Cricetulus griseus: one gene and its partners. The protein of the gene in region 3 purifies or fractionates together with the protein of the main gene of each other region. This does not show direct contact. Links are inferred from orthologs where the notes say so. Each region holds a gene or a part of one and is shown on either strand. Other genes may lie near its edges.

Region 1 (7,644 bases), on a different chromosome or scaffold from region 3:
TATGCCAGTTTCTGAGCCAGCGTAGCAGTTTGTTGGCACAGCTCTGGTCACCTTGCTGTCCGATTATGTTCTTGAGTGATGTGGGCTTGTACTTATCCACCCAGAGCAGGCTTTCCACTTTGTTCCCACTGCTGTTCTTAGCTGGACCCTGAGCCCTGTTGTTGCCAGGCTTCTCCTTGACGACCTGCTCTGTGAAGTCCAGGCCCCTCCGAGACATGTCTGCTTCCTTCTTTATGGCTTTTGCAGGGCTGTCCCTTTGAGGAGTCAGTTTGCTCTTTTTAGACTCTGACTCCTTCTTGGTTGGACTAATTTTTCTTTTTCCTTGTTCATGCTTTTTGGGTGTTTGCTCCAATTTGGACTTTTCTTTCTTCATCTGAAGATGGGGGGGGAGCAGAGGGAAGAGAGAGAAACCTGATCAAACACAGTAGATTTCTATCCTGCTACACCCAGAGGCAAGGTGACACAGGAAAGTGAGCTACTCCATCTAGGCTGCTCCTGTCACAATGCAGTCACACACTGCAGTGTGTGAAGTCACTGCTTTCAGAAAGCCAAGAATATAGTGGTCATTTTTAAAATAAAAAGATGGGGTCATAGGGTAAACAACAACTGTTTCAAAGTTTCTTGACTACAAGTTTTCCTCAAAAACTTGTATATACAAAGTCCGAACAGTGCTGTATTATATGGTATGCATACACATTACAGCCATAAAATCAAAGAGCCCAACATCCACTGGGGAACTTAGATAAACAAAAAATTATGAAGATCCACACAATGGGACATTTGATCATAAAAGGGATTGAATAGTAATTCAAAGTACAACTTGATATGCCTTGAAGCCATTATAAAAAGTGAAAAGGCTAAAAACAAAAGCCTCATATGGTATGGCTCTACCTATATTAAATGTCCATAATAGGCAAATCCATAAAACAACAGCACAGTGACTGCCAGGCAGAGGGTATGACAAGCAACTCTAAATAAGTACAAAATTTCTTTTTGAAGATAATGACAATGTTTGGAGTTAGATGCATTAACTGAGTCAACAAGTGGGTAGAGGTGCTTGCCACCAAGTCTAATGTCCTGAGTTCACTCCCCAGATCCCACATTGTGAAAGGAGAGAACCAACTCGAGCAAGTTGTCCTCTGACCTCCACATGCACACCATGTGCCCAGACACATAAAATACATACTATCAAAACTTAATATATAATTTTTAGTTAGATAATGATGATCGCTGCACAGGTGTGAATTATGATTTTTTTTTAAATAGGTGAACTTTGAGGAATGTAAATAATCTTAATCTCTAAAACAGTTAAATGCCTTCCAGTAATGCTAGAACTTATGAATGACCATTTAAGAGAAGACATTTTTGAAGATTCAAAATAACTATCCACTCAAGAAGACCAGCAGACTATCTCAACCAAGTTAACAAGATTTATCAATGTCATGTACATGAGACACACTAAAAGGGACACAGTATAACCCTGTGGTATTCATGACAAACTGGGTAACACAATCTAATTGTGAGAAATGTAACACAATGCCATGATAGACATTCTACAAACAACTAACCAGGATAAAATAAGGAAAGACAGAACTACCCTAGGCTGGAGGAGGCTGAGACAGCACAAGTCAATGTAGTGCAGGAACCTGGAGCAGAGAAAAGGTGCAGTGTGGTGAACAAACACTGTAGCTAACCATGAAGCAGCAACATTCATTCCCTACTTATTGCAACTTGACCATGGTTACATCATCCCCTGGGACTTTTCTATTGGAATAAACTGGGCAGACCATCTTGTCACACTGGTGGTGGTACAAGGGACAATAATCTTGGCATCCAGGCACTCCTGTGTCCTGCATGTGGACACACAGATAGATAGTGGAATCAATGTGACAGCACTGGGAGGCGCAAACACAGAAAATGGAAGGGTTCAGAAGGATGGACCAAGTTCATCCTGCCCCCAGCTTAGATGTGAGTCAACTCTTTCTTCTTTTTTTCTCCCCTTTGTTGAAAGCCAACAGAGACTAGTTTCTATCATAATTGAAAAATTCCTAATAAAGTTTCACTAAAGATACTAATAAACTCCTCTTTAAAAAACAAAGAATAGAAAACAAAACTTTCAGGCAGGGCCATGTAAAGTCTACAAGAATACAGAATATGGACTGAAGACATGACTCAGCAATTAAGAGCACTTACTTCTCTTGCAGAGGAGCCCAAGTTCAGCTCCCAGAACCCATATTAGGTGGTTTACAACTGCCCAGAACTCTAGTTCTAGAGAAAGATGCCCTCTTATAGCCTCTGTGGACACCACATTCAAGAGCATGCATACACCCCCACCCCCCACCCCCCCCCCCACACACACACAATTTAAAAACTGAGGCCAGGTGTGGTGGCACATGCCTTTAATCCCAGCATTTCAGAGGTAGAGGCATTCAGATCTCTGAGTCTGAGGCCAGTCTGCTCTACATATCAAGTTCCTTACCAGCCAAGGCTAAGTAAATTTTTTAACCTTGAAATATATATGTGTGTGTGTGTGTGTGTGTGTGTGTGTGTGTGTGTGTATGTATGTATGCATGTATGTATGTTATGAGATGTATATATATATATGGACAATAAGGATGAGAAGGTAGGTTACACACAACACACTATATGTTACACTCCCTCTCTCCTCCCCTGAAAAGTAAAGAAACACCAAAGACATGCTGAGACAGTCTTCCAGGTCAAAAAGAAAGAAGGTGAATTTACTTGTTTTACACAGGAGTTTGATTTTCTAGCCAAAAGTACTGTCTATTGTGCATCTCTATCAAACAGGAGGCTTCTAATACCAACTTCAATAAACCAGGTTTGTCTTATACACACCTCAGCTTCAGCAGCTATTTCATACTTGGATTTCTTGCCTGGCATAGTTCGAATCAGATCCAACAGACCATCTTCATCAAGGATTTTTGTTCCCAAAGCTGTTGCCTGTTGATTAAAATACAAGTCATCAGAGCTCCATATAAACTACTTGTTGTTGGAGAGGAAATTTTACTTTAAGGCTTACTAGCAGATGAATCACCACACTGTAAATTAACACTAGAATTTATTTTTAATTATTTTTAAGATTTTGCCAGGCAGTGGCAGTGCATGCCTTTAATTCCCAGCACTCAAGAAGCAGAGACAGGAGGATTTCTGTGAGTTCGAGGCCAGCCTGGTCTCCAGAGCGAGTGCCAGGATAGGCTCCAAAGCGACACAGAGAAACCCTGTCTCGAAAAACCAAAACACAAAACAAAACAAAAACCTGTATGTTTCTATGTTAACAATATTTTTAAAACTAGAATACACAAAGAAAATCAAGTAAATAGCAACGATGCTTCCAATTAAACAAACCAAAATCTGTAGTCACAACCAAAAACACACATACGGTATGTGAAGAAGACAAAACTACAGGGTGAAGGCGTTCTTTCTCTTCTTTTTTAACTGTAATGTGGCCAGGAGCATTACCACAAACAGCCACACTGGCAGGCAGGTACTACTGTGAAGAGCGCCAGCAGGACCCACCTTGTCACTCTTGGACTGTCCGCTATCCCGGCCCATAACGAGATAGTTGGTTTTCTTGCTCACATTTCCTGTTACTTTGCCCCCATAACGTTCAATTAGAGACTTGGCTTCTTCCCGTTCAATGGACTCCAGCACGCCTGTGATCACAAATGTCAGTCCTTCCAAGCAATTTTCAGCTCCCTAAAAACCAAAATGTTCAAGCAGAGAAGAAATTACAAGGTAGCTTTCCAAAGAAATATAGCTGAACAAGCTGACTTGACATCATAAATAATGATGAATAAAGACCCCAGCATGAAACCTAGATAGAAATTACAGCAGAACCTCAAAGTAAATCCTGATGAATTCCTACATAGCTAACATTTAACACATACCAAATGAATGAGGAAAAACATACTGTTACCAAAATTAAAATTACCCATTCATGCAATTCTCCACTTTTCATATTTAAATCAGTAATTTGCTTTCATAGCTTCAAGTAAACAATCAAATGTAATCTGCCCACTGACAAGCCCACTGTTGTTAAAGTACAGCTTGGGTTCTGGAAAGCCTATCAAGTTGGAGCGTTTATCATTCTCTGATCATTACCCGACTGAGAGTGAACCTAAGAAACTGCTAGAAGCATAGAACAAAGATAACTGGCCATCTAAGAGCTGACCGGGCTTCTCTTCTTAAGTCTGAACTACAACTCCGTACAGTTATAGATTTTCAAAATTTTTATAACATCAACTAAATTATACAAACAAAATGGTCATTCTACATGATATGCCCTGCTCCTTATTACTCTGTGAATAGCACTGAGATTTTAAAAAAAGTTAAAGAAAACTGGAAGCATATTCCAGCGTAAGCTGATCATTCCTCTGCCACATAAAGAACCTTTCTTAGAACAAAGGAGGAAAGAATAGTTATTATTTACTGAGAAAGAAAGGGGAAAATGGCTAACAGCTTCTCTTCAGTCCTTCCATTTCTAGGAGTGAAATGAACTATTAAATCTTCACAACAGACTCCAAGTCACCCTGGAGAACTCCACATCAAGAAGCTCCTCCTTTCAAACCCCAAACTACTGTCTCCCTAGTGCTCTCCCACTAGAGCTCACAATATCATGTTACTGACCCAAGCTCAGCCTCACCAGCGTCCTTACCATCTCATCCATTAGACTCCTCTACAGCTCTGACTCCAGGAAACTCCTGGCAGCCTCTTCAACATTCCCTCACAGCCTTGCTGTCACAAAAACACAGCAGTCCCGTAGGGACACCATTTGCCCTAAAGTCCTCCAACAGGCACTTACTTGTTCAGTCTCTCAGCGTTACACCCTATACAGGAGGCAAGGCTGATCTCTTCTTCCAGCCCCTTTCCCTTCCCTCTAGCTACCTACCCTTTCTTCTTAGGGGAACTTCTAATCGCCTTATGTAGCAAAGTGAAAATTAAATTTAAATGTCTACCAAATTTATCTCCTAGATTCTCAGAAGCCCCATGGCACAGTTAATTATCCTTCCCTTGGGGAGGGTCTACTCCATCAGCAAGAAACACGTCTTAAGTACACCTCCAACCTTAAAAACATTCACCTCTTCCCTTAAATCCCACTCTTCATTTCTATTTCACAACCAAACTTATCAAAAACACGTCTCCATTTGTCACCTCAGACTCTTGAAGCCACTGCATCAGTTGTCTCTACTGTTCTTGCTGGGGCCATTAAGGACCATCACTCACGTTACTAAATACAATGGACAAGTCTGAGTCTTCTCATTGTTGCAACTTTCACAACATAGCAGATCATACCACTCAATCACCTTTCTTGCCTGCACTTCTCCTATACCACTCACATCAGACTTCTTTCTCACATCTGGGCTGCTACTTGTCAATCCCACTTTGGTTTTCACCCCCATCTTTATATAGAGGCTATGATAAGGCTCTCTTTTCTACAATTCCTAACAGTAGCAACAAAAAGTTTTATGTTGGGGTCACCACAAGAGTAACTGTATTAAAGGGTCACAGCATTAGGAAGGTTGAGAACCACTGATCTAAATGATCCACCCAGGATCATCCATGTTTCTCTACTATACTCTCTAAGAGCACCTAGGACTTTTCTCTCACAGCACGGTACTACAATCACTATCAGATATTAATGCATTTACCATGCTTTTCCTTAAGCTCTGAGTCCATGAAGGCATGGAAAAGCACATCCCTTCTCAGGCTACTTATTATTTAAAGGACACCAGTGAGTCACAATGTAAATAAGAACTTCTAATTCATAAAAAGGTAGCTGAGACCTTTCTGTTAATACTGGCTCTTTGCTGGAACAGGAGGCAGAGTAGCACAGAGTAGCACAATCCTCGTGACTCTTACCTTGGGTATTTCTTTGGAGCCCAGAGCTTTGGGACCTTCACGATTTAAGTAGCTTCGATAAGCTTGATAATTAGTACGCTTCTTTTCAGAATCTTCTGGACTTACAGACTTTGGACACAGGGAAAGAAAAAAAAGTCATGTAAAATTAAGATGTACCTAGAAAGAATTACATTTAATTTAGATGGATGGATGTGGATGGATGGATGGGTAGGTAGACAGACAGATATAAATGGAGATACATGTATGTGTGTGTATGTATGTATGCATGTATTTCTGATTCAGAGATACTGGATGTATCTAGCACGTGTATATTGGGGAGGGTCCCCTAGATAACTTTTAGAACTACTACATTATTTTTCCAATTCCTACTTTATATTGCTTTTAACTTAAATGTAACTCCAAATCTCTTAAAGTAGACAAAATATTCATTTGCATAAATAAGTGATATGATCAATAAGATAGTTAAGCTGGTTTTGAGTTAAACCAACTACTGCAGCTGATCTTAGAATCCAAGCCTTTTGCTGTTGTTGCTGAGACAGGGTCTCACTGTGAAGCCCTGACTGGCCTGGAACTTACTATGTAAACCAGGCTGGCCTTGAACTCAAGAGATCTACCTATGTTTGCCTCCTGAGTGCTGATATTAGTGGCATATACCATCACATCTGGCCCCAACCCTACTTAACAATGGCTCTCACCCACTAAAAAAAGTCCTTATCAAAATACAGCTGCCTAGACCATGTGCCCTGGGAAGCCATATTTTTAACAACCATATACAACTGGGAGCGTCACTCATTTGTAGTCGCAATTCTTTTTTTTTTTTTTTTTTTTTTTATTTCTTTATTATGTGCACAGTATTCTGCTTACATGTATGTCTGCATGCCAGAAGAGGGCACCAGATCTCATTATAGTTGGCTGTGAGCCACCATGTGGTTGCTGGGAATTGAACTCAGGACCTCTGGAAGAGCAAGCAGTGCTCTGAATCTCTGAGCCATCTCTTCAGCCCCCTGTAGCAGTAATTCTATCTTGTAAAAATGTGAAATAACTTTGGACTTTCTGCATGCCTACCTGCCTTGTTGTTTGTTCTGTGACAGGTCTCACTACGTAGCTGAAGCTGACCTTAAACTATCAATCCTCCTTCCTCGGCTTCCCAAGTCCTGGGATTACAGGTATGCACCACAACTGGCTATAAAACACCTGAAGCATATTCACTTACTATGTCAGAATTACTTGACTAAGATCAACTGAATTTACTAAACTCTAATGTTCCTACGTACGGGTTCTGAGTTACTGAGTCCAGCTTTGAAAACACCATAAAAATAACAGTATCACTTTTTTAAAACTTTTATCTCCTCCTCCCCCAAAATAGTCACCCTCTGTAAACTTCCCCATGTACTTAGTATGCCTGAAGAAATACCTTTCCACCAGATAAGTATTTAGTGAAGAAAAATCTGAGGGCAAAAAGTTAACTGATACTTCAAGCAAAAGCTAAAATTCAGATAGCAATTGTTACATCCCAGGCACTGCTCTAAATGGTTGTATAAATCATTAAACACATTTTAAAATTTTTTTATTACATTTACTTCGTGTGTGTGTGTGTGTGTGTGTGTGTGTGTGTGTGTGTGTGTGTGTGTGTGTGTGTCTGCGCGTGCGCGCGCGTGCACTACAACATGTGTGGAGGTCAGAGAACAAACTGTGGAAGACAGTTCTCTCCTTCTACCATGTAGGTCTCAGGAACAGAACTCAGGTATAGGATCCTTACCCATG
Region 2 (7,644 bases), on a different chromosome or scaffold from region 3:
ATTAGACTTGAATTAATGAACAAGCTTATAGAAAAGTCATTAAGAGGGAATCTTAAATTCAAGCCAAAATGTAACCTCAAAGTTAAAAATACTGGTTTTGTCTTCTAGAATCTAGAAAATGGCTTATAAGTTAACCATAAGCCTTCTTAGTCACAGCCAAGGTCTTCAATATCTACTTGGATCCTATCAGAAACTTGAGACTATACCAATTTGTTCTATCTTGTATACTTCTACAATTGTTATTAATCTACAATATTTTCCTAAGTACTAGTGTTGACCAAACGATGTGGCCCTGTTCCCCAGCTTTTGCTCAGCAGGCAATGGATTTCACTAAGGTAAGACCTTTAAAGGGCCCTACTATAAAACATGTAGCCAAGGCTTGTGGTAATTTTTCTGCCCCTCTGTAGATTACAGGCCTTTGCTGCCATGCCCAGCTTGACTGAAAGCACATCTTGAACCAAAAGCAATCCTGTTTTTTGTTTTTCTGGTTGACACATTATTTCAAACCAGTATTTTGCTTATCACTGGGCATGTTTTTAAGTCAATTCTTTCCTTCAGGTCTGATTTCATCAATATTTTTAAAATAAGTCATTTTCCTCCCCTTTGTATGCAATCACTCTTACTAAATCACTAAAGAGAATTTGCAAGCATAGATGTAACTGCTAAGTGTAGTGTTTACTGCCAGAAGGCATTTTACTTTATCAAGTCCTACTTTGTTAGCTGATCCCCTTTCTCCTTTTTTTCCCCCCTAAGTCTCTACTGCTAGGTCTTTGAAAGGCACAAACTAAAATATCAGGATAAACAACATTGATTAATCAGAATTATAAGGTTGAATTGTCCCCCAGGTTAGGAATATATAATCCTAATAATGTATATGCAGCAGTTACTAACAGTAAGTTTATTTTTAAGCCAAATGCCAAAGACACTACCTTTTAGTGTTATTTCTATTTCAACCTATTTAATCTAAAACTGGCTGCCTTGTAACAATTTCCATGAATATACTACAATAAACTCACATTTAAAAAACATCTGATTTAAAATACCTCAACAAAATCCTACAGAAACAGCAATATAGAAAACCTAAACTTACCAGAAGCAGGCTAAAAAAAACTGGCACACTAGACTAAATTCTAATTTTAGTTCTACACTTTGACTCCTGATTCTCACTTCACACAGTGAGGATCCTTTAGATTTAAGTGTTCTGTGCAAACCCAATAAAATTACAATTAGGGGATCTAATGTTATCACATAGCTAGTTAAGTTAGCAGCATTGTGTAGTAGTGAAATCAATGACTGGCTTGCATGATGGCTTCTAAAAGCATCTGTTCCCAAAGGTTCATGTAATAGTTATGTATATAATCAGGTGAGGACAGCCATTCACATTTCATAAGCATGATCAACTGAGCATTAACTTCTCCCAGCCAGTACCTTTGCCCCTCATAAATGTTAAAAGCCACCTGGGGGGGGAGGGGAAGGGAAGAATTCAGCTTTATATTATATAAATCAATTGTCAATATACATTTAAGTTTTTAAAACCTAAATGTTCCAAGTACAGAGTAAAAGAATAAGCTGTCCAGAAAGCACACACTTATAATTTCTCCTCTTGGGAGTTGTAGTATAAAGGGATTTTGAACCTTGATGGCGAGAATCCCAAACAAGAGTAAAATGAATTCTTTTTATTGCAAACAAACGTCTAAATTAATTTCTCCACCCACTTTCTTTAGAAAGAAAAAGAAATCAGCAGGCTAAGGAGATACCCATTCAAGAACTGACATGATTAAAAGATATAAATGGGTGACTCACAATTTCATTAGCTTACAAAGATGGTGGAGTTAACTACTACAAGCACACTAGTTATACAGTATTTTGTGGGAGAAGGGCATACAGACATAGCTAACTTCATATAGATCCCATTAGACAACTGGATTTACAACAAGTTTTTTTAATAAGAAATGGGCAAAGCCAGCTTTCTTTTCAGAATCAAAATGCAGAACAAATGGAAAAATTTATGGTATTTAACCTTCACAAGTTTGAGCCTCCACATATAATGCAACCAAGTTTACATTTTTAACAGCCCTTCTACATACACTCCATCTTCTCAATCTTGGTTCTAAATTTTATCTTCATTCCCAATTGTTCAAATTCCATTGTTAAACAGAAAAAAGAATAGCTTTCCCGGTTTGTCAGAAATTTCCTTTCCACTATTACCCACCAGTTTACAGAGAGGATGGAGTGTATTATGAGCAATACAGAATCTTATGCAATTCATGAGGACCACTTAGTCCTTCCATGAATCTGGTTGCTAACATTGCTATTTTATTGTGACAATGACTCCCGACTGTTATTCTCTGTGAGAAATGGGGGAGTAAATGCTTAATAAAAGACACCAGGTACAAAGCAACATTTTACTTTTGTTGTGATAAAAAAAAGTCACATTTTACAGATAAAATGTAGAACCCTGAAATACTGACACATTCTCTTATCGTGCACAATGCTGAGGTTCTCTTACGATTCACTTTAAAACTGCAATTAAAAATGTACAAAAAAGAAAAGAAAAAAAAATCAACCCACAAAGCTTCTAAAAAAGGAACCCGCAGGCACTTCCTCTTGTGGAATGTTTAAAAAGTTAGCCTACTAAAGAAAACAGTCGACTTCTTGTGAAGGTTTTGGAGAAATATGTATCAGTTCGTTTTATTTGGGTATTCAATAATATCCTTGGTGATAATGCTGACTCCATGGCTTCTGACCCCAGAATTGCTGTAAGAGAAAATTTTGTTTTTAAAGAAAAAAAAACATCAATAAGCCACTCAAATTGTTTTTAGGAAATGACAATGATCTAATTCAGAGTAATTGCTGGAAACAAATTTATACTTGTCACACTTAATTTCTACATCAGACCAGAGACTTAGTTTTAATTTACCAATTACCCATATTATTTACCAATACACATTACAAAAAGAAACACAAGACTTGGGTTAGTTTACGTAATTAAAACTATTAAAAAGAACCATAATAAAAACACCGTATGTAGTAAATATTACTTTATCTAAAAATCTGTTAAAACTCCAGCCTATCCATGGTTACAATTTATAACACAGTAATAAGACTATAATTGTATCAAACACTTCAATCCCTAGATAAGAACTTCCGATCTGATTCTTGTAAACATAAAAACTACAATTTATGTAATTACTTAAGAAAACTACTTACACCCTGCTGCCACTGGTTGTAGCCCTGAGATTGATTTTTGTAGCCACGATTGTTTCCTCGTCCTCTGAAGTTCTATGAAAGGGAAAAAAAAATATCTGTAAATAGGTCTGAAGTAATGCTTGGACATTTTAAAGGGGCATGCTGAAACCCTGTATACCCCTGGTCATTGTTGTTACTGTTAGTGCATCTGAAAAGCAAAGATCATTAAACTAAACTGCTTCACAACTATGTCAATGCCACCTACAACTTTCTAGGTCAAATTATAGATGCTAGCTCCTCTTACCTGGTTGTAGTTCCCTCTGTTGGGCATTCCACCTCTGTTGTAATTTCCTCTGTTCGAGTAACCACCTCGGCCAGGAAAAACAGGGCCCCGGGGGTATGGGTAGCCAATTCCACCACTTCCACCACCGCCACCTCTCTGTGGCATATTGCCTCTCCTATTATATCCGCCACGATTACCAGGAGCTAAACACAAGAAGAGTTTATTTAGTCCTGCCATAACCTAGAGTTCAGTCCAGTTACAGCATTAGTGAAAAACAAATAATGTCATACTTCACTACTGAATATATAGTATGAATTGTAAATTACATACTAATTAGACATGGCAGCATAAAATATCTAAGAAATTAACTTCTTTAGCTACTTGACAAACTAAAAGATCCTCTGCTCACTTTAAAATTTCAATCGAATAGAATATTAAAATTAACTTGCCTCCACCTCTGAAATTGCCACCTCGCATATTGAATCCTCCACGTCCTCTATGGCCACCACCTCTGTTGAACTGGTTCTTGCCACTCTTATTTTTATTGCTCTTCTTTGAGCCAGTATTTTGCTTCTTTTCTGGTGGGAGTGCCTTTTTGCTTTCTTCCTTGTATTGCTCCAAAAGCTTTTGGGCTTCTTCCTTCTGAAGTTCAACATAGGTTATTTCATCAAAGCACTCAGCCACCTCTGGCAGGGTAAAATTTCCTATAGGGAATAAAGTCAGATTAAAATTATAAAACTATATTTGTTCATGGATAGCTTAGAGACATCTTTTATAAACACATTTCTATTTGCCAAATTAATATAATTCCTAACAGTGCTGGCAGTTTTAAAAAACACTTTTCAGGCATAACTCACAGAAACAGACTTAAGACAGTAAGTAATAACAGGAAAACTCCATGCCTTTCATTTTAAGGACAGCATGCTCTGGTAGGTCTTTCCCCTCTACTTCTGCTTTCTTCTGTGTCCTCTGCTTATAGTCTTCATCTTTTGGGCAAACTACGACAGCTTTTCGCTGGAAGCCTGCAAACAGGCACATTTTTCTCCTTTGGGCCGCAGCAGACACATTTGTCTTAAAGGGAAAAGTGAAGAGTTAAAAGACATTAATCTCACATCTTATCAATTAATATTAAAAAAATTTCAAAGCTTTTGCTCACCTGATCCAGAATAAAATTCCGCTTCTTGCGGGCAGCAATCTCAATAAACTTCCCAAGACACTGTGGAGCTCTCTGCAACAGCGTGTTCAGTTTTCCAGTATCTGCCATTTGCTTCTTAAAACCTGCCACCTACCAAAATTTTTCTTTTACTTTGTGTATTTTAAAAGCTCTGAACTGCACATACAGGACACCAGGCACCATTTTTACAAATTCAACTGCATCCTTTCATTACTACAATAGCTTTTATGACCTTGCTCTTTAAATTGCTGTTCAAGGTTAATTTATGGGAAAGCAATCACTAAAGTACCCCACTTTGTTTTAGCCAAAATTCTTTTCTCTAAGATATTAATAAGAGAAACACAAGCCAAGGTTAACCTAGGATAACTTCTGAACCCATTTACTATAATTCTAAGATTAATGTCAGGGTACATGTAATGTATACTAGGCAAGTAAGTGTTCTTCCTCAGAGGTATCCCCTAATATTCTTGACACTTTAAATTTTACTTACCATCATTTTGTCCATAATGGTATTTGTTCCAAGAATGTTGTATTTCCCAGGGTTTTCAGCTGCATGCTTAGTAACCCAGGTAGTTTTGCCAGCTCCTGGCAAGCCAATCATCATTACAACCTACGGGGGGGACACACACACGACAGACTATTATTCATCAGCAAGTATTTATAATTTTCCCATCATTTAGCCTTGCTCAGTTTATGAACAATCTACAAATACCACATTGAAAACAACTTACTTCACAATCCTTCTTCTCTTCAGGTCCCTTTGGTCCTCTAACTCTGTCCTCTAAGGGGACATTTTGGATAAAAGTATAGTCTTCAGGTATTGGAAAATATGGCTTTTCCTTTTGACCAAAATTAAATTCAACTGCACAGTTATGGCAGAGCACGTGCGGGAACAGTGGCCGGTCAGCAAGAACTTCCTTACTGATCTTGAAGGCAACACCAAGGTCTTGTCCATTCTTCGCATAGGAGAGTTCAACTTCATCAGTTTCAAAGTTCTGTCAACAAAAGTATTTTAAGCCAGCTTGAAACTATTTTGAGAGCTTTCTAAACTTGTCAAGAAACAGGAGTAGACTCACCCTGCAGTTAACATGTTTAAGCTAAATGCTGAGATGTAATGATTCAGGATTTAGAGGGTGTTTCCCAGGCCATTCATTTTTTAAAAAAAGATTTATTTATTTATTATATGTACAGTGTTCTGCCAGCATGTATGCCTGCATGCCAGAAGAGGGTGCCAAGTCTCATTACAGTTAGTCCTGAGTTCAATTCCAGGCAACCACATGGTGGCTCACAACCATCGTTATTATGAGATCTGATGCCCTCTTCTGGTGTGCAGATACACATGGAAGCAGGATGTTGTATATATAATGAATAAAATCTTTAAAAAAAATGTTTGTGATCCTTGAAATGTCTTTCCCCCCAATTTTAACTGCCTTGTTTCACAGCAGGGTTCCATGTTGGGTGTATTCCTCTGTCATTAAACCTAGAGCTGGAGGCTTCATTTGTTTCTTCTCCACTCCCACCCAAACCCAAGTTAGATGCCCGCTACTGTGCTGATTTTACACTGGTGCAAGGTTATCCAAACTCTGATGCTCACACAGCAGAACTTTACCTGCTGAGCCTCTTTTCCTAAGGCCCTGTCTTTAACCCAGAATCAGTATGTAAGTTTAATCACACGGATAGTATTTCTTTAATCTATAATATACACACACAGCTACTGATATTTACAGTAAGTTTAACTCACAGCAAAACATGTAATCACATCATTTTCATCAAACTTCTCCCCATAATCTTCTGTCTCGCAGTTGCATGTTTTTATTCCTTTCAGAGAATACCCGTAAGAAAATTCTTCTTCCCCTAAAAGGAAAAAAAAAACTTAAAATTAGGGTCTAAGCAGTCCAAAGCACACTAAACTATTTAAAACATATACTAAAAAGGTATCATTGGGGGGAGGGACTTTGTCCTGCCTCAACTCAGTATGCCAGGCTTAGAATGCCTCACCCTAAGGAATGGATGGTGGTGGACAAGGATAACAGTGGTTGGCATGTAAAATGAATTAAAAAATGTTTTTAAAAAATTATTGAGCATATTGCCTTACATTCTGACAGATCTGCCTTTATCCCAAATGCTTAAGTGACTTATAGTAGTGACTTATAGTCTGGTAGGATATACACATTAAATTGACAATTTACATGCCAAAAGTAGTCTATTTTAATCATCTTTAGAACTACAGAAGAACAAGGAAAGTAAACTATCCTTGTCTGTACATTCTAACTATAAAAAAGTAACACTGAACAGATAAAATCAGGTCAAGGCTTATTAACATTTTAGTTCTAGGTTTCAATAATGTAATCAGACCTTAAACATCTAAGCTTCCACATGACTCAAATATAAGTAAACTTTACCAAGCAACATTCCACTTGTAGTTAGTGACCAGCCAATCCGAACTTCATGTATATCAATATCTTTTGTGTACAAATGCCTTACTGGGATCTTCTCTGTTACCTAAGAATCAAAATTACATGATTAAGCTATAAAAGACTAAATCCCTTAAACCCTATGGTATTGGGTTATGGACCCAATTTCTTCCTCTGCTATTAACACAAAGAGAAAAGCATTCAATCTTTAACCAATCACAATCACCAACTAACAACTAGTAAGTTGATAATACACAGCATTAACAAAGGTCAAAATTAATGTATATTTAAAGGAAAACTCTGTAAGTGAGACAGCTCTCTATATTCCGGTATCAAAACATTTTAATGGCAAAGTCTCCCAAGAAAACTTAATAGGCTCCTGTGACTGGTACCAATAAAAACAAAGCTCCTGAGAAGCCACAAAATTCCATTTACCTTCATCTCAAAACAGACTTTGCCTTTTGATACACCGTAAGATGCTCTTCCTCCAGCCCAGAGAAAAGCAAAACTCTCCATAGTAAGGGAAGAAGCACTGAGGCGGTCTCTCGATATTTTAAAATGCAGATCACAGTTATCTGAAATTA
Region 3 (8,338 bases):
CCACATGGTGGCTCACAACCATCCATTATGAAATCTGGTGCCCTCTTCTGGTGTGCAGATATAAATGGAAACAGAATGTTGTATACATGATAAATAAATAAAAATCTTAAAAAAAAAAAAAAAAAAGAATGAGGCAGAAGGTGCATTAGAGACCCTGGAATTAGGAGACCTATGATGATGGGATGTCAGCTGGGGAGCTGGTCCAAGACTGAAACTGTGTGCTGTAGGTAGCAGAGCTGGTGGGATGTGGCTACCTAAGTCCTTTGTTCTAGAACCTCACATGTCAGAATGGATATCTGTCCTGCTGGGTTTAGGATATGCTTTGATCTACTCTTCCCTTGCTATGCCCCCTTCCTCCCTTTTGGGATAGGGATGGTCACTCTACAATTGTTCATTAAAATTATGTGACTTGGCTGGAATTGTAAGGGACTCACAGCTTAGAGATAGAGTTTCAGAAGAGTCTCTGTTCTTATGCTTTTAAACAGTTTTAGAACTGCTGAAGACAGAATTTTTGAAATTATTTTGAATACATTTTACATTATAAGCTAGTCATCAGCCTAAGGGGACAAGGGATAGAATATCATAGCTTAAGTTATATGTTTGAATGTCAAGTTGATGAGGGAGAGACTTGGGACGTAGGACTGATTGTATATTCTAGATTCACTGAGGAGCACTAGGGCATAAGGGAATAAGTACTAGCATTCATCTCTATGCTTCTTGGTCATAAATGCAGTGTGAGCATCCAACTCAAGTCCCATGTCCTCACTGCCTGCATTGTGAGACAGCGTAAATCTTGTTAAAAAAAAAAAAAAAGGCACCCACACATACACATGTTTTAGACAGGGTCTCACTGTGGCTGGTCTATGCCTCTGGAGTGTTGGATTTAAAGGCACATGCCACCACACCCAGCCAACTATATCTATTTTAAAATCGACTCTTTTCTATAACCTGTTACTTATTACATGCTTATACCTCTTGATTTACTTGTTTAGTCTCTTTCCTCTCCAAAATAAAAGCTCACGGAGAAAGGGTCCTACTCTTATTCAGCAATCTTTTTTGTTGTTGTTTTTCTAGGTAGAGTTTCTCAGTGTAGCCCTGGCTTTCCTGGAAATCACTCTGTAGACCAGGCTGGTCTCGAACTCCCAGAGATCTGCCTGCCTCTGCCTTCTGAGTGCTGTGATTAAAGGCATGTGTCACCATCACCCAGCTATTCAGTGGTCTTTACTTGAATACTACATAAGAACGTCACACAGAAGATGACTATTGTTTTATAAATAGCATCAAAGACTTATAGCATATAAGGTTATATTTATGGATAAGAGGTTAAAATAAAGGAAGAGGTGAATAAACCCTAACTTCCCAGTGCCATCAAACACCATCTACTTACATCAGCTCCTTCTAAAGACTTTTTAAGTACTGCAACCACTTCTTCCTGGAAAGCAACTTCATCCACACATTTTGGACGACTAACAGATGGAGGGAAAGGAGGTTATTTAGCATATATGGAGCCACAGAAAAGTCCAAAGTGTTCCTTCTGCTAAAATACCAATAATAGTGCTCTCATATTAGTTATGAAATTGGAAGCAGGCAGAATCTTCATGTGTATTTACCTCAAGCAAATACATACTACTGAAATGAAATTATTTTTGCCTCTACCTGTACTGCACACACAAAATATTAAGCAGAGGAATTAAATTTAAAGTGAACCAGGTATGCATTTTATATGGAGAGACACCTTGCCCAGCCTTGACACAGGGGTGTGGGGGTGGAGAGGTGCCTTGGTCCTGCCTCAACTAGATAATGGGACAGACTTAGCAGACTTCCTAAGGGGAGGGCTTGATGGGGGGGGGAGTGGGAGGAAAAGAGGGAGGGGGAATTGGGATTGGAATATAAAAAATAAATTAATAATAATAAAAAAGTGAGCTGGGTGTGGAGGCTCACCTCTTTAATCCTAGCAAGGGAGACAGAAGTAGGAGAATCTCTGAGTTTGAAGCCAACCTGGTTTACATAAGTATTCTAGGTCAGGGCTATACAGTCAGACCTTGTACTTAAAAAAAAAAAAAAAAAAAAAAAGTGTGTGTGTTGGGGGGAACACTTGTCTAGTTTATAAAATAATAAATCTAATAACTGGCAACTACTTTGCTTAAAATAATCATATACACACCCATCCATCAGCTAATGCATTAAATAGTCAGTACCATTTTTTTCTAACACCTAACTACACCAAAGGAGACCTTTTGTTTGGTTTGAGACGGGGTTTTCTCTGTTTAGTTCTGGCTATCCTCGATGGAACTCACTCTGTAGACCAGGGTAGCCTTGACCTCAGAGCTCTGCCTGTCTCAGCCTCCTGAGTGCTTGAATTAGAGGTATATACAAACCACCACTCCCAGCTAGTAACTTTTTTTTTTTTAATTTACTCAGTAATTTTTTATTTCATTATTTTAAGAATTGGAAATCAACAATTTTCATGATTTTTCTCTTATTTCACATCAATATTTTTTTCTAGTAGCAAAGCATATTTATTTACCATTTTTGAGTGTATCCTTGTATATTTTTTTCTTTTTTTTTTAATTAGTTCAAATTAGGAACAAGCTTGTTTCACATGTCAATGCCTTCTCCCTCTCCCTCCTCTCCCCCTCACCCCTCCTATCTCATCCACCCTCCATTCCCCAGGAAGGGTAGGGCCCTCAATGGGGGCTCCGCAAAGTCCACCACATCATCCTGGGCTGGGCCTGGGCCCTCCCCCATGTGTCTGGGGCAAGAGAGCATCCCTTCACGTGGGATGGGCTTTAAAGTCCCTTCTTACACCAGGGAAAAATACTAATCCACTACCAGGGGCCTCCTAGAGTGCAGAGGCCTCCTCATTGACATCCATGTTCAGGGGTCTGGATCAGTCCTGTACTGCCAGCTAGTAACTTTTATCATAAGTCATTTATTAGGACCTTGTTTGGCTTGTAAATAACCTGAAAACCCTCGATAATCAGAGAATACATCTAGCTAATGGTTACAATTACGTCTAGTATCACTTAGCTGACAATTTAGTGCTACTTCAAACCTTTTATATACTAAAACCAAACAAAACCCCAACAATTTCCAGTATACAATAATAAAAGAGGGCCAGAATCTAGATTTCAATAGGACTACTATTTATAACCAGCTCACAGAAACGTTTTCATTTCTGTATCTAAGACCCCCCCAAACTGTACCCCCCAAAGGTAGTAGCATCTAAATACCACAAATCTCCCTTACATTAAAACAAAACAAAAATCCAGTGGACTATAAAAGATTAGGGAGGAAACTTAGTTATTTCAACAAAAATATGGATAATTCTTACTATTTTTCCACCCAAGGAACTGGCTTGACTTTCTTGGTTTCTCCACTGCTTCCTGTAGGTATTGCCCGGTCCTTGGTGAATTGTGGTTTAGTGCTGACAGATGTGCCTTTTAGAAATGCCTGCATGGTTTCTTCTCCTGGGTATAAGACAAAAGAAAAAGAAAAAAGAAACAATTGTGAGCAAGTTCTCAATGAAAAGACACTCAACCTTGTGCAGAGGCCAACTGCTAAAGTGCATCATCTCATGACTTACGATGTTATGAATGCACTCGGGGTCACAGGGTCATAAGAGGGAAGGAATTCTGAGACAAATCTAAGCTGTTGACCAATAGCATCTCTTCTTGGGCCTTGAGCGTGGCTTTACTGGCAAAGCCAATGCTGGTTTTCAGAGACTTGGAGGTGGGGAGGGGAAAGTGGGACCTTGCTATAGAGGCAACCGTTACTGTTCTGATAAACTCAAAATAAGAAATCAAAAATGGGATGTTTAAGATTTATACAAAACCTAACTAAGACATAAGCACATTTACAGGCTATTTTCAGGGGCTTCAAAACCACCAGCCCTCCACGATCACCGGCTTCTCTAATAACTCCCAGCATCGATGGCAATGTGTTTTGTTTTGTTTTCTCTCTCTCTCTCTCTTTCCCCACTGCTGTACAGTCGGTGCTTAGACGTGTTTGGCTCCAAGACATTCTGCTTTACCAAATGAAATGTGAGGACGGGGCTAAAGACGACTCCATAAAGTAAATGAATTAAGTAAATGGCTGCAAACACGTAGTTCTAACCCTGGCACACAGGTTAATTAAGGCTCGAGAAAACACTGCAAGCGGTCACTGTCTGGTCCAAGGCCAGTTTCTTGTCACCTTTCGGGATTGCGGCCTCCCGCCGCGGGCTGCATACAATGCCGCCCGAGCCGCGGATTGCAGTGACCACCGCGGAGGTGGAGGACTCAGCCCGGATCCCGCCAGCCCGGACCCAGGCCGAGCACACCCAGAACGGACACTTACAGTCGCCACCGTCCCTCAGATGCCTCGGTTCCCGCCACAGGACGGCGGCGAAAGGCACGGCGGGAACGCGCGAGTCACTTCCGGCGCGCGGGCCAGGGTGACGCGCGTCTTTTTGGTTAGGCTTGGAAAGGCGCCCCTACCGGCTACGGCTGCGGGCCTCCACTGGGGCAATCTGTGAGGACCCTGCGACCAGACTCTGACGCGCTCCCGTCACGGCCGAGTGCGGCGCGGGTTGACTCGGCCTCAGGCCCGGCATGCTCCGCGGGGGAGGTCTCGAAGGACCCGTTTTAAGCAAGCGGTGTGCGTTGCTGCCATCGTCACCCCAAAGGCCGGGCCGGGACGCTTTTACTCGCTGGAAGGGGGCACCCGGCAGAGTACTGCTCCCACCCCGAGCCGATCCTGAATGGGCACAGGGCAAACTGTTAAGAAATGGGACGTCTGAAGCTAGAGATGGGTCCGCGGTTAAAAGAATTGGCTGCTCTTGGGGAGGACCTGAGTTTGATACCCGGCACCCATCCATCTGGTGGCTCATTGGTAACTCCAGTTCAGGGGCTCCAACTCCCCCCTGGGGTCTCCGCAGCCACTACATGTATGTGGTGCACATGTACGTGCACTCAGGCAAAACACACACACACACACACACACACACACACACACACACACACACACACACACACTCAGCAAAACTAAAGAAAGGAGATACCTGAAAAACTTTCCTTTTTCAGGCTCAGCGGTTAAGAGCACTGATTGTCCCTCCAGAAGACCTGGGGTTCAATTCCCAGCACCCACATGGCAGCTCACAACTGTCTGTTGTGATTCCAGATCCAGGGGATCTGACATCCTCACACAGAGTGCATATAGGCAAAACACCAGTGCATATTAAATATATTTTTTTAAAAGGTCCCTTTTCATGGTCTTGAAGGCAGTTTTCTTTACCTAGTGAGCAGACTCGTGAGCCCAGAGCAGGTGTCTTTTACTGCCTTTAAGTAAGGTCAGCTTGTTGCAGGGAGGGAGGACCATCTACTTATCTTGTGATTCTTGAGAGCCACTCAAAAATCTAGTGGTTGGGCTGGAGAGGTGGCACATCAGTTAAGAGCATTTGATGCTCTTCCAGAGGCCTGGAGTTTGCTTCCCAGCACCCGCCTGAAGAAAGAGTCTAGGGCCAAACAAAAGAAGGGAATGAGAATATCTTTGTAGCATGTGCTAACATCCATTGGACAGCATGTCCTGCTGAGGATTTCCTAGTCCACGTGAGCCTTTTGCTTCCTAGCCACCTCTGCATTTAGATGCCCTCATGTTAGCCCAGTAAGTCCATAGACCAGCCTTGTTAGATAGATAGATAGTTAGATAGACCAGCCTTGTTAGATAGTTAGATAGTTGCCAGCCGCGAATCCAACCGTAAAGACTGATCTAGTTATTGCACTGTCGGGATTCATGTTATCCACAGGAACTACAGATGCTCACCTTCCTGGGGCTGCCATTCCTCAACTGGATCAACTGACCTTTGCCCCTCGGTGGAAGAAATGTTATTGTTTCCACCAGAAATGTTTCTAGATTTCTCTAATCAGGCTCATTTTCTAGAACCACAGTTCTCAAAGGCTGGATTGCATCAGAAGCACTTGAGGGGTTTGTAAGAAGTACATTTCCAGTCCTTACACACACCAACAGGGTCACAATCTCTAGTGTCTGGGACTATGTGTTTGTCATAGAAGGTTTCTGGTGAGTGGACATTATGATCTTGTCTCCTCTAAAACTCAGGTGGAAAACCCCAATGTAATCAACCCCCAGTGTTGTCCTTAGTAATTCCAGGATTCATGTTGTAATCAAAGACTTTGTTCTTTGCAGTCTCCCTTCCCCCTTGAGATGGCTCAGAGGAAGATCCTCACTAGATGGTGGCACCTTAAGTTGAAATTTCCCAGATTCAAGAACCAAGCAAACATCCATTCATTATAAATTGTCCAGCACAAGACAGACAAAGTTGCTTGTCATTACACTATTTGATATCCTTCCAGAAAATAGCCCAGTTACTGTGAGTGGGGGTGAGAAAACAAACTATACAGGAGCGCCTAAATTGAAAAAACTTGTTGTTTACCACTCTAAAATCTGTGGGACCTGGGAGAATGGAGCCTCAAAACAAGGCAGACTAATGTCTCACATAATAACTAACTTTATTCAGGGCATCAGACAGTTGGTACTCCAAAGGTTAAGAAGAGTCACATGAGGAAAGTGTAGCATCACAAGGATAAGCTGTGCATGGCAGAACCGTTTTTGTTTTTTTTTCCATAGAGGCATGTAAACAAATAGCAGTAGCTAGTTGTAATCTGAAGTAAACTCACTTTTATCCTCTACACCTTGGAGGGGCACACAAGCGCATTCAAGAACAAACCTGTGTTTTGAAGAAACAGGATACAAAACTCTTGGCTTGTTTTCTTGGAGTTTTCTCACAAGCACTCATTCTTGGACTGTTCTGACACCATGTCAGTAGGAAAACCCCACTGCTTATGGACAAATACAAAAATGTAGTTGACTTGGGAGGGGATCAGTCCCCAGTCAGCACCAGGCTAATAAAAAGAAAGCCTCAGAATATTGGGAAAGATTCTTATTGGAGGGTAGCTAGACTTTTCTATTTGAGGGTAACATGATTTCTGCTGGTAACTTAAAAAAGGGACAAGTTTCCTGATGGTGACTTCTCCTTTACTTCAACTTAAATGATCTCTTATATATTTTGGTTGTGAACCTAGCCTTTAACGGCTGAGTCATCTCTCCAGCCCAATAATCTCTCTTTCTTGACAATCTTTTTACATAGAGACATTTCTCTCCTGCCCAGTTACTTATTTTTATAACAATTACAGTTACAAATCTCCACACTGCCATAGCTATGCATCTCATTTACACAGCTCATTCACAGTGCAACTCTTTAGACAGTTCCCATGCACAGCTCTTCTACATAGCAATCCCTCTTTCCCACAGCATTCTTTCACACCACATACACACACTTTTCCTCCATCGTCCATTCCTTACCCTCTCACTCTCGCTCATTCATTTTCTCACACTTATCTCATGCTTTCTCTTCTTCAACTCTCACACTTCTCTCTCTCTCATAGCAGCCTTGTGCATTTCTTGGCCTCTGCTGCCCCTTCGTCGCTGCTCCTTCTTTCTCTGCTTCACCATCCCAACTCTCTCACCTCTCCTCTGGTCTCACTCTCTGCTGTCTGCCTCTCCCTCTCTCACAGCCAGGCTCCAGACGATTATATGTTATTTTTCAGGGCTCAACCCATACTCACAACACGTTAAGTCATGCAGTTTCTCTCAGGCTAGGAATGTCACAACGACTGGTTACTGCAAGTGGCCTAGCACGTAGCTCTAAGTTGGTGAGGGCTTCCAGACAGTGGACAGTTGGCTGAACCTTGAGACTGAGGAGTATGTGCAGACTAACGTTACTTCGAACTCTGGCCTTGAATTAGCAAAACAATGCCTGGGAAAATGACCTCGTGAATTTGTCTCCAAGGGCAACCAGCCTGCTTTGAATCTGCTCTGAAGTCTGTCTGTGCAAAAGTCTCCTTGTGACTGAGAATCCTATGGCAGTCTGAGCAATGTAAAATATCATAGTGTTATTTCTGTTCATCAAAATTATACAATCTAAGCATCATCTTCCTGAGTATCCACAGCTACATGTGTTCCCAAGAAGTATAAAACACAGCACCAAAGGGCTGGGAGGCATAGTAGTGGTACCTGAGAAAGTTACAGGAACAACCAGTCATCCAGTCAATAACCCCACGGTTTTGCCAAGTGGGGGCCCCCAATAGTGTCTGGTGAGTCAGCGTTGCCTAGTAGGATTCTCCAGCAATGTCTAGTGGGTCAACTTGTTAAATACTAGTTGTCACTGCTGTACAGTCCCACGGCCCTTTGCACAAAAACCATCTGTATAAGGGGCCCATGTGAGTCTGGCTTTATGCTCTAGGCCAGTGTTTCTCAACCTTCCTAATGCTGTGACCCTTCA
Region 4 (8,254 bases), on a different chromosome or scaffold from region 3:
TGTATGTTTTAAGTATAAACAAAAGCAGGGCATGGTGACTCATACTATAGTCCCAGTACCTTGGAAGCTGAAGCAGGAGGGCTACAGTGAACTGGAAGCCCTCCTAGCTTGCACAGAGTTCCAGGTCAGCATGGGCTACAGTATGAGAACTCAAAGAAACAAGTATAAATATAAGCTACTGACAAAGACCCTTAAACCTGACCTAGAAATTCACTAAATTAAGCAAATATGTTGTGGTGGTTTGAATAAGAATGGCCCTATAAGCTCATACATTTGAATTCTTAGTAATCAGAAAGTGGCACTATTTGAGAAGAATTAGGAGGTGTGGCCTTGCTGGAGAAAGTGTGTCACTGGCAGTGGGGGTGGGTAGCCTTGAAGTTTCAAAAGCCCATGCCAGGCCCAGTCTCTCTCTTTCTCTCTGGTCAGGATGTAGTCTCAGCTACAGCTCCAAGCATCATGAGTATTGCCATGCTCCTACCATGACAATGGACTAAACCTCTGAAACTGTAAGCAAGCCCCAATGAAATGTTTCCTTTTTAAAAGTTGACTTGGCGTTTAATCCCAGCACTCGGGAGGCACAGGCAGGAGGATCTCTGTGAGTTCGAGGCCAGCCTGGTCTCCAGAGAGAGTGCCAGGAAGCCTCCAAAGCTATACAGAGAAACCCTGTCTGGGGGGGGGGTTGCCTGGTGGGGGGGAAAGGAGGAAGGGGAAAATGGGGTTAGTATGTAAAATGAAAACTAAATTTTTTTTAAGTTAAAAAATAACTTGCTTTGGTCATGGTGTCTCTTCACAGCAATAAAACAGTGACTAAGCCATATGTATATAAAACCAAAATGATCAAAATGAGTTAATAAATGCATCAGTAACTTGCATAACTAAAAATGCATACTACTATATTGGTCACAAAATAATTATTGGTTATGCATAGTCACACATGCCTTTAATCCCAGCATTCAGGAGACAGGGACAGACAGACATCTCTGAGTTTAAGGCCGGTCTGTCTAGTCTATATAATGAGACTGTCTAATAAACAAACAAACAAACAACTCCATTAGTTTTTATACACACCCCACTCCCTCCTGGTACAAGCACTCTACCAACTAAGCTACTGCTCTAGCCCTAACTTTTTTCTGTCTTTTGCTTCATTGAACCCAAGCCTTCCAATACTAAATAAACTCACCCTTGAGCTATATTTCCATCCTACTACCAATCTAATTTCTCAGCTCATTTGAAAAAGTACATCTGCCAAAATAACAAAAACTTTATTTTTAAAGACAAGTAATAAGGATGAAATTTTTATTTTTAGAAAATTCAAATGAATTAACAGGGCTATTGTGGTTAAAAGCATAGTACTGATGCTGCACAAGTAGGCAAGAAGCTCAATGGAGTGTGTCTGAAAAGCAAAACCAGACAAGGTTATGTAAGAATTCATACAGGGGATCTCCGACACGGCCCAGAAAGCAAAGGTACTTGCTGTCCAGCCCAGTAACCTAGTTTGATTTGCCAGGATCATGGTAAAAAGGGAGCACCTCTTCCCACAAGTTGCCCTCCACACATATGCTGACCCCTGCACTTACAATAAATAAGCAAATGTAGCAAAAATAATTTTTAAAAAGAATTTAAGTGGTAAAACTAACATCCAAATTAACAGATAAAAGACTAAGAGATGATAGTGGGACAAATTCTGACCATTTAGATAAATGAGGTAAAATACAAGCAAAACTATGTATGTTGAAATAAGTGAATTAAAAAAAGAATCTATTATTATGGTCTATAAAGCTTTGAGATGGTGTCAGAGACATCACACAACAGACATTCAAGTCAGAATTAAGTTAAAGTACCTGCCCTGATATCTACTAGTATGGAAATCTATTTTTTCTTTTTTTTTTTGTTTTAAAATTTTTTAAATTAGTAACAAGCTTGCTTCACATGTCAATCCCAGCTCCCTCTCCCTCCCCTTCTCCCCCTCCCCACAACAACCCCCAAGCCCCCATTCCATCCCCCCTCTGCTCCCCAGGGAGGGTAAGGACCTCCATGGGGGATCTCCAAAGTCTGTCATATCATCCCAACAGAACTGTGACTATGGAGCAAGCAACACAAACTGGCAACTTCCCCTGGGAAGAAGCATGGCTGACTGATCCTGAAAACACAGGATCTGGAATGGAGAAAGTCATCAATAATTGCTTGTGCCATAATTACGGCACAACAATGACTAAATAGCCATAGAAATTAAAAACATTCATGTGATGGGGCTGGAGAAATGGTTCAGCAGATACGAGCACTATCTGTTCTTCCAGAGAACCAGGGTTCAACTCCCAGCACCCACATGGCAGCTCACAGTTGTCTGTAACTCCAGCACCAGGGGATTTGACACCCTCACACAGGCATACATACGGGCAACCAATGTAAATAAAATGAAGATAAATAAATCATTTAAAAAATATGTGAAAAAGAAATATTTTTGAAACCAAGTTCTTAGGATTATAATTAGAAACTACTAAATATGCTACAAAGAAATGTAAGCTGGCTGTGCTTGCACAAGCCTGGGCTACATGGGATCCTGTCTAAAAACTAAAACAGGGCCAGTGAGATGGCCCAGTAGATAAAAGCACTTGCTGCCAAATTGGCAATCTGAGTTTAGGCCTTGGGAACCACAGGGTAGACGAAGAGAACTGACTCCTCCTACAAGTTGTCCTCTGATTTCCATACTACCAATACACAACTGTAAATTTATAAACGTAACAAGAAATAAAAACAAGTTTGAAAATGTATTGAAAGCCTTCCACCCCAGCACTCAGGTGGCAGCGATAGGAGGATCTCTTTGAATTCTAGGCCAGCCTGATCTATAGAATGAATTCCAGGACAGACAAGACTACAGAGAGAAACCCTGTCTCGAAAAACAAAAACAAAACAAAGAGTTAGGACTGAAGTGAGCACACATCTTAGCTCACTTCAAAGGCACCACAACACATTAACTAAAATGCTAGTCTGAGACATGGTATATTAAAAAAAACATAGCAGCTATGAAGAGGCACAAGCCTGTAATCCCAACATTTGGAAAGTGGTGACAGGAGGATCAGTAGGTCCGAATCCAGCCTGGGTATTTTTCTATCTACATATACATATCAGCCATGTACTTTAAGATCCTAGCCACTACTTAATCGCATAGAATATCATTATGGTTGCTTAGTGTATTTTTATTTCTTTCTGTAAACCAGGGCTTCCCAGATTAAGCACTGTCTTCAGCTTAGTGTACTCTTGAAACGCGGTAAATACAGAACACCTAACATGTCACAGAGACTCTTAACTACATTACATTAAGCTCTGCAGCCTCGAGAAACCGACTTAAATACCTCACTTAATTCTTAAGTGACATTCCATATGGAATTCCTAGGACAGATGTTTGTGTGTACGGACTAGACGCACTTAAAGCTTTTTCGCTGTTCTATGATTCCACATCACGAACAAAGAATTGGAGCCTGAGATCCTCGGTGACATGTCATTCCACCAATGTTTCAGGACCCGGGAACAGTGGTTTTCAAATCTTGAGCTTACAGCGAGCCCGAAAATTTCTGAGAATTCCACTGAGGACTTAACCACGATACACCGAGGCAACCATCCCACACAAAATTATAGCTGCGGATCATCACATCACTCCTTCCCCGTCTCAGAAGCAAGCAGGACTCCCACCACCCCCACGCCACAATTCGCCAACACAGGCAGGAAAGAACTTGACAGATCCTCGAGCTCACCTCAATCTCGTAGTCCTTGACTGGACGGGGAGCTGCAGCCGCCGCCATGGTCAGGACCCCCACCATGATCCCTGCCTCCCAGAGCCACGGATCCTAGGACCTCAGGCGGTCCGGCCCAGCCTGGCTGGAGGCCATGGAGGCGGCCGGTGCAATGGGAGCGAGCTGCGGGGCCGCGGGGTCCGTCACGGGTCCCCCAGAGCCCAGCCGGCGGACGCGAGTGCGAGGCTGGGCCCAGGGCCGTCCAGCCAGGCTTCGTCGAGAAAGCGCGGGCGCAGGCCCCGCGGAGGCGGCCGGACAGTGCACGGTGACCCCGAGGCAGGCGCTCCAGGCTCAGCGTTCGAGCCCCGGGCCGCAGTGGGCGCTGCACACGGAACGCCGATCAGGCCTTGGGCTTCCTGGGACTTCTTGTCAATTGGGTTTTCGCGCCGTCCGGAGCGCAGGGGGCGGAGCCTATGACCGCTTCTGGAGACTGGGCCTACGGTGAGCCACTAAGACCAAACTATTTCGTTTGGCGAATCAGCAAGCGACGGAACCAGGTCTATTTGGAATCCTAGTGGGACTTCAGACGTTCGTGACTCGGTGTTACAGGCGAGTTTGACCATTCAGGACGTGATTTCTCTAAGGCTACCTAGTCACTTGGTGGCCGAACTAAGACTTAGACATAAGGCATTTTTTTTTTGTTCGTTCGTTCGTTTGTTTGTTTTTTTGAGTCCTGAATGTTCCAGAACTCCGTTTGTAGACCATCCTGGCCTCGAACTCACAGAGATACGCCTGTCTCTGCCTCCTGAGTGTTGGGATTAAAGGTGCCTCCACTGCCCAGCGACTGTAGCCATTCTTAAAATTATATTTTAAAGCCAGGAAGTGCGACTTTAATGGCTTTAATTCCAGCACAGCCTGGTCTACATAGAGTTCCAGTTCAGCCAAGAGAATCTGTCTGATAATACATAGATAGATAGATAGATAGATAGATAGATAGATAGATAGATAGATAGATAGATAGATAGATAGATAGATAGATAGAGCAAAAAAGAGAGAAATAAATGAGTGAGTGAATAAATAAATAGAAAGGAGTTAAGACGACGTAGAAAAGCCGGGTGGTGGTCTACATAGAGTTTTAGTTCAACCAAGAGATTCTGTCAAATAAATAAATAATAGAAGTTTAAAAGAGATAGAAAAGCCAGGTGGTGGTGGTGAATATACACTTTTAATCCCAGCACTCGGGAGGCAGAGACAGGCAGATCTCTGAGTTCGAGGCCATCTTGGTCTACATATTTAGTTCTAGGACAACCAGGGCTACACAGAGAAACCCTGTCTCAAAAAAAATTTATTTTAATTTTATGTGTATGAGTGTTTTGCCTACATGTATGTATATGTACTATGTGTATGCCTGGTACCTGTGGAGACCAGAAGAGGACATTGGATCCCCTGAGACACCATGTGGGTGCTGGAAACCAAACCCAGATCCTCTGCAAGAGCAAGAAGAACTGAGTTCTCTCTCTAGCCCTCAGATACAAAAAGCATGTGCTTTGTTACTGAGCTACATACCCAGCCCATGATTTAACCATTACAAAGAGTATGTATAAAACCCTGCTACCTTGGTTAAAGATTTAACTGCTCTATAGCATCGCCCACAATGGAACTTCTCCTTTCATGCTTTCATCAGATAGGTTAGTAAACACACTGTGGCATAACCATGTCATAACCATACAATGGAATCCTTCTCAGCAATAAAAAGAAATGAGGGCTAGGAAGGTAGAGTATTGGAGAAACACCTCCCGTTCACAAGGTGGTGGTATCAATCCTGAGCATTGCCAAAATGCAACTCTAAATCAATAAAAAGCCAAGCATGGAGCAGGGGGTTAAAGAGGTGACCCAGCAGTTAAGGGCACCGGCTCCTTTTACAGATGACCCAAGTTCAATTACTAGCACCTACATGGCAGCTCACAGCAGTCTATAACTCCAGTTCTAGAAGATCCATCACCCTTTTTCTGATCTCTGTGGCACCAAGCAAATAGCAAAGAGACATAGATGCAGGCAAAACATTTGTTCATAAAAAATAAATAATCTTTTTTAAAAAAGCAAAATCAAAATGGTACTGGAAAGGTAGCTCAGGGGTTGAGAGTGTACACTGGGCTGCACAGTAGTGGCGCACACCTTTAATCCCTGCACTTGTGAGGCAGAGTCAGGCAGATCTCTTTGAGTTCAAGGCCAACCTGGTCTACAGTGAAAGTTCCAGGACAGCCATAACTGTTACACAGAGAAACCTTGTCTTGGAAAACAAGCAAACTAACAAACATAAGAAGACAGCCTTAGGGAGGGATGGCTCAGAGGTTAAGAGCACTCCCTGCTCTTCCAGAGGTCTTGAGTTCAATTCCCAGGAACCACATGATGGCTCACAACCATCTGTAATGAGATCTGGTGCCCTCTTCTGACCCACAGGCATATCTGCAGACAGAAGACTATAAATAATAAATAAATCTTTAAAAAAAAAAAACAAGGAATGCATACTGCTCCTGCAGAGGACATAAGCTTGGTTACCAGCCCCTAACTCAGGCAGCTCTTGACAACCTGTAACTCCAGCTCCAGGGGATCAGATGCCCTCTTCTGAATTTCATAGCCACTCACTCACATCCACATACCCAGAGACACACAGCTATTCACATAATTTAAAAATAAATAAACTTAAAAATAAAAGGAAAATGTTAAGCATAGTTTTGGAGAAAGGGAACAGTGTTAAGAGTGCTTGATGTACAATCATGACAACTGCAGTTTCCAGCCAGCAGCCATGTAACAAACTGGGCATCTGTGTCTGGCTGTAACCCTAGCTCTGAGACCAGCAGAGACAGGAGGATCACCAGGCCTGGGCTCCAGCCTAACTGAGAAGCCATGAGTGCATGTTCAGGGAGAGACTTCCGCAAAGGAGTAAACAAAGTGACAGACTCTCTTCTACCTCCCAGAGTACACACAAAGACACACTTACCCCCCATCAAATAATAAATAAATAAATAACTTTAAAGATAATAGGGGGAACTGGGATTGGTAAGTAAAAATAAAAAAGATTGTTTTAAAAAATAAACATAAGCCGGGAAGTGGTGGTACATGCCTTTAGTCCCAGCACTCAGGAGGCAGAGGCAGGCAAATCTCTGTGAGTTTGAGACCAGCCTGGTCTACAAGAGCTAGTTCCAGGGCAGCCTCCAAAGCCACAGAGAGACCCTGTCTTAAAATAAAGTAAGTAAATAAATAAATAAAATAAAATAAAAAAATAAACATAAAAAAATTAAATAAAAGTTCCAGTTGGGTGGTGGCGGGGCATGCCTTTAATCCCAGCACTCGGGAGGCCAAGGCAGGTGGATCTCTTGTGAGTTTGAGGCCAGCCTGGTCATCAGAGCGAGTTCTAGGACAGACTCCAAAGCAATACAGAGAAACCCTATCTCGAAAAACCAAAAAAAAAAAAAAAAAAAAAAAAACAACAACAACAAAAAAAAGAGTTCCAGGCCTAAGCAGGGCATGGTGGCACTCAGGAAGCAGAGACAGGTACGTCACTGAGTTCGAGGCTAGTCAGATCTACACAGAGTGCCAGATGAAGCAGGCTACAAGGAGAAACTCCTTCTTTAAAAAAAAAAAAAAAAAGGTTTGGGCTAAAGAGAAGGTTCAGCAGTTAAGAGCACTGGCAGCTCTTCTAGAGAACTCTGGTTTGATTCCCAGCACCAACAGGGTGGCTTACAGCTGTCTGTGACTCCAGGTCCAGGGAATCTGGCATCCTCACACAGACATACATGCAGACAAAACACAAATGCATGTAAAATAAAAATATAAATAAGTTTTTTTTAAAAAAGTTCAGCCGGGTGGTGGAGGCACTCGCCTTTAGTCCCAGTACTCGGGAGGCAGAGGCAGGTGGATCTCTGTGAGTTCAAGACCAGTCTGGTCTACAACAGCTAGTTCCAGGACAGCCTCCAAAGCCACAGAGAAACCCTGTCTTGAAAAACACCAAAAAAAAATTTCAAGGCCCAGCCTGCATGAGACAAATAGGGAGGCCCTGTGTTAAAGTATTGAGGGCTGGGGATATAATTCAGGGACAGAATATTGACATGTCTTGCATGAGATCTTGTAGCCAATCCTCAGCACTGTAAATGATGATTAAGTAAATAAATAAAATTTAAAGGATTAATTTATTTTTATTTTATGTCTGTAAGCATATTTTGCCCACATGCCTATATATGCACCATACAAATGCTTGATGCCTGAGGAGATCGGAAGAGGGTGTTGGATTTCTGGAACTGGATTTAGAGATTGTAGTGAGCTACCCATGTAGATGTTGGGGATCAAACCTGTATTATCTGCAAAAGCAACAATTACTCTTTGGCTTTTCAAGACAGGATTTCTCTGTGTTATCAGCCCTGGCTGTCCTGGAACTCACTCTGTAGATCAGGCTGGTCTCAAACTCATAGAGATCCATCTGCCTCGGCCTTCTGAGTGCTGGGATTTAAGGCCTGTGACACCAC

What was found.
Region 1: the proteins of Rfc4 (region 3) and Rfc1 fractionate together in Homo sapiens (co-fractionation; 7 studies listed by BioGRID and IntAct, counting the BioPlex papers as one, with this or other methods). This does not show direct contact. The link is inferred for Cricetulus griseus from reciprocal best matches to the Homo sapiens genes RFC4 and RFC1.
Region 2: the proteins of Rfc4 (region 3) and Hnrnpu fractionate together in Homo sapiens (co-fractionation; 3 studies listed by BioGRID and IntAct, with this or other methods). This does not show direct contact. The link is inferred for Cricetulus griseus from reciprocal best matches to the Homo sapiens genes RFC4 and HNRNPU.
Region 4: the proteins of Rfc4 (region 3) and Atad5 purify together in Homo sapiens (affinity purification with mass spectrometry; 5 studies listed by BioGRID and IntAct, counting the BioPlex papers as one, with this or other methods). This does not show direct contact. The link is inferred for Cricetulus griseus from reciprocal best matches to the Homo sapiens genes RFC4 and ATAD5.

The regions. Positions count from the first base shown.
Region 1 is NW_023276807.1:132,326,232-132,333,875, forward strand, and holds part of Rfc1 (replication factor C subunit 1), read right to left. Parts: intron 5,989-7,644; coding exon 5,881-5,988; intron 3,718-5,880; coding exon 3,538-3,717; intron 2,962-3,537; coding exon 2,857-2,961; intron 374-2,856; coding exon 1-373. UniProt on the Homo sapiens protein: Subunit of the replication factor C (RFC) complex which acts during elongation of primed DNA templates by DNA polymerases delta and epsilon, and is necessary for ATP-dependent loading of proliferating cell nuclear antigen (PCNA) onto primed DNA.
Region 2 is NC_048598.1:15,822,947-15,830,590, reverse strand, and holds the end of Hnrnpu (heterogeneous nuclear ribonucleoprotein U), read right to left. Parts: intron 7,636-7,644; coding exon 7,496-7,635; intron 7,149-7,495; coding exon 7,049-7,148; intron 6,501-7,048; coding exon 6,388-6,500; intron 5,642-6,387; coding exon 5,378-5,641; intron 5,257-5,377; coding exon 5,137-5,256; intron 4,758-5,136; coding exon 4,629-4,757; intron 4,544-4,628; coding exon 4,375-4,543; intron 4,177-4,374; coding exon 3,922-4,176; intron 3,676-3,921; coding exon 3,494-3,675; intron 3,283-3,493; coding exon 3,211-3,282; intron 2,758-3,210; coding exon 2,704-2,757; 3' UTR 1,662-2,703; downstream 1-1,661. UniProt on the Homo sapiens protein: DNA- and RNA-binding protein involved in several cellular processes such as nuclear chromatin organization, telomere-length regulation, transcription, mRNA alternative splicing and stability, Xist-mediated transcriptional silencing and mitotic cell progression.
Region 3 is NC_048597.1:65,802,539-65,810,876, reverse strand, and holds the start of Rfc4 (replication factor C subunit 4), read right to left. Parts: upstream 4,491-8,338; 5' UTR 4,339-4,490; intron 4,324-4,338; exon of another isoform or gene 4,195-4,323; intron 3,471-4,194; 5' UTR 3,460-3,470; coding exon 3,335-3,459; intron 1,467-3,334; coding exon 1,388-1,466; intron 1-1,387. UniProt on the Homo sapiens protein: Subunit of the replication factor C (RFC) complex which acts during elongation of primed DNA templates by DNA polymerases delta and epsilon, and is necessary for ATP-dependent loading of proliferating cell nuclear antigen (PCNA) onto primed DNA.
Region 4 is NC_048600.1:93,533,957-93,542,210, reverse strand, and holds the start of Atad5 (ATPase family AAA domain-containing protein 5), read right to left. Parts: upstream 4,190-8,254; 5' UTR 3,819-4,189; coding exon 3,753-3,818; intron 1-3,752. UniProt on the Homo sapiens protein: Has an important role in DNA replication and in maintaining genome integrity during replication stress.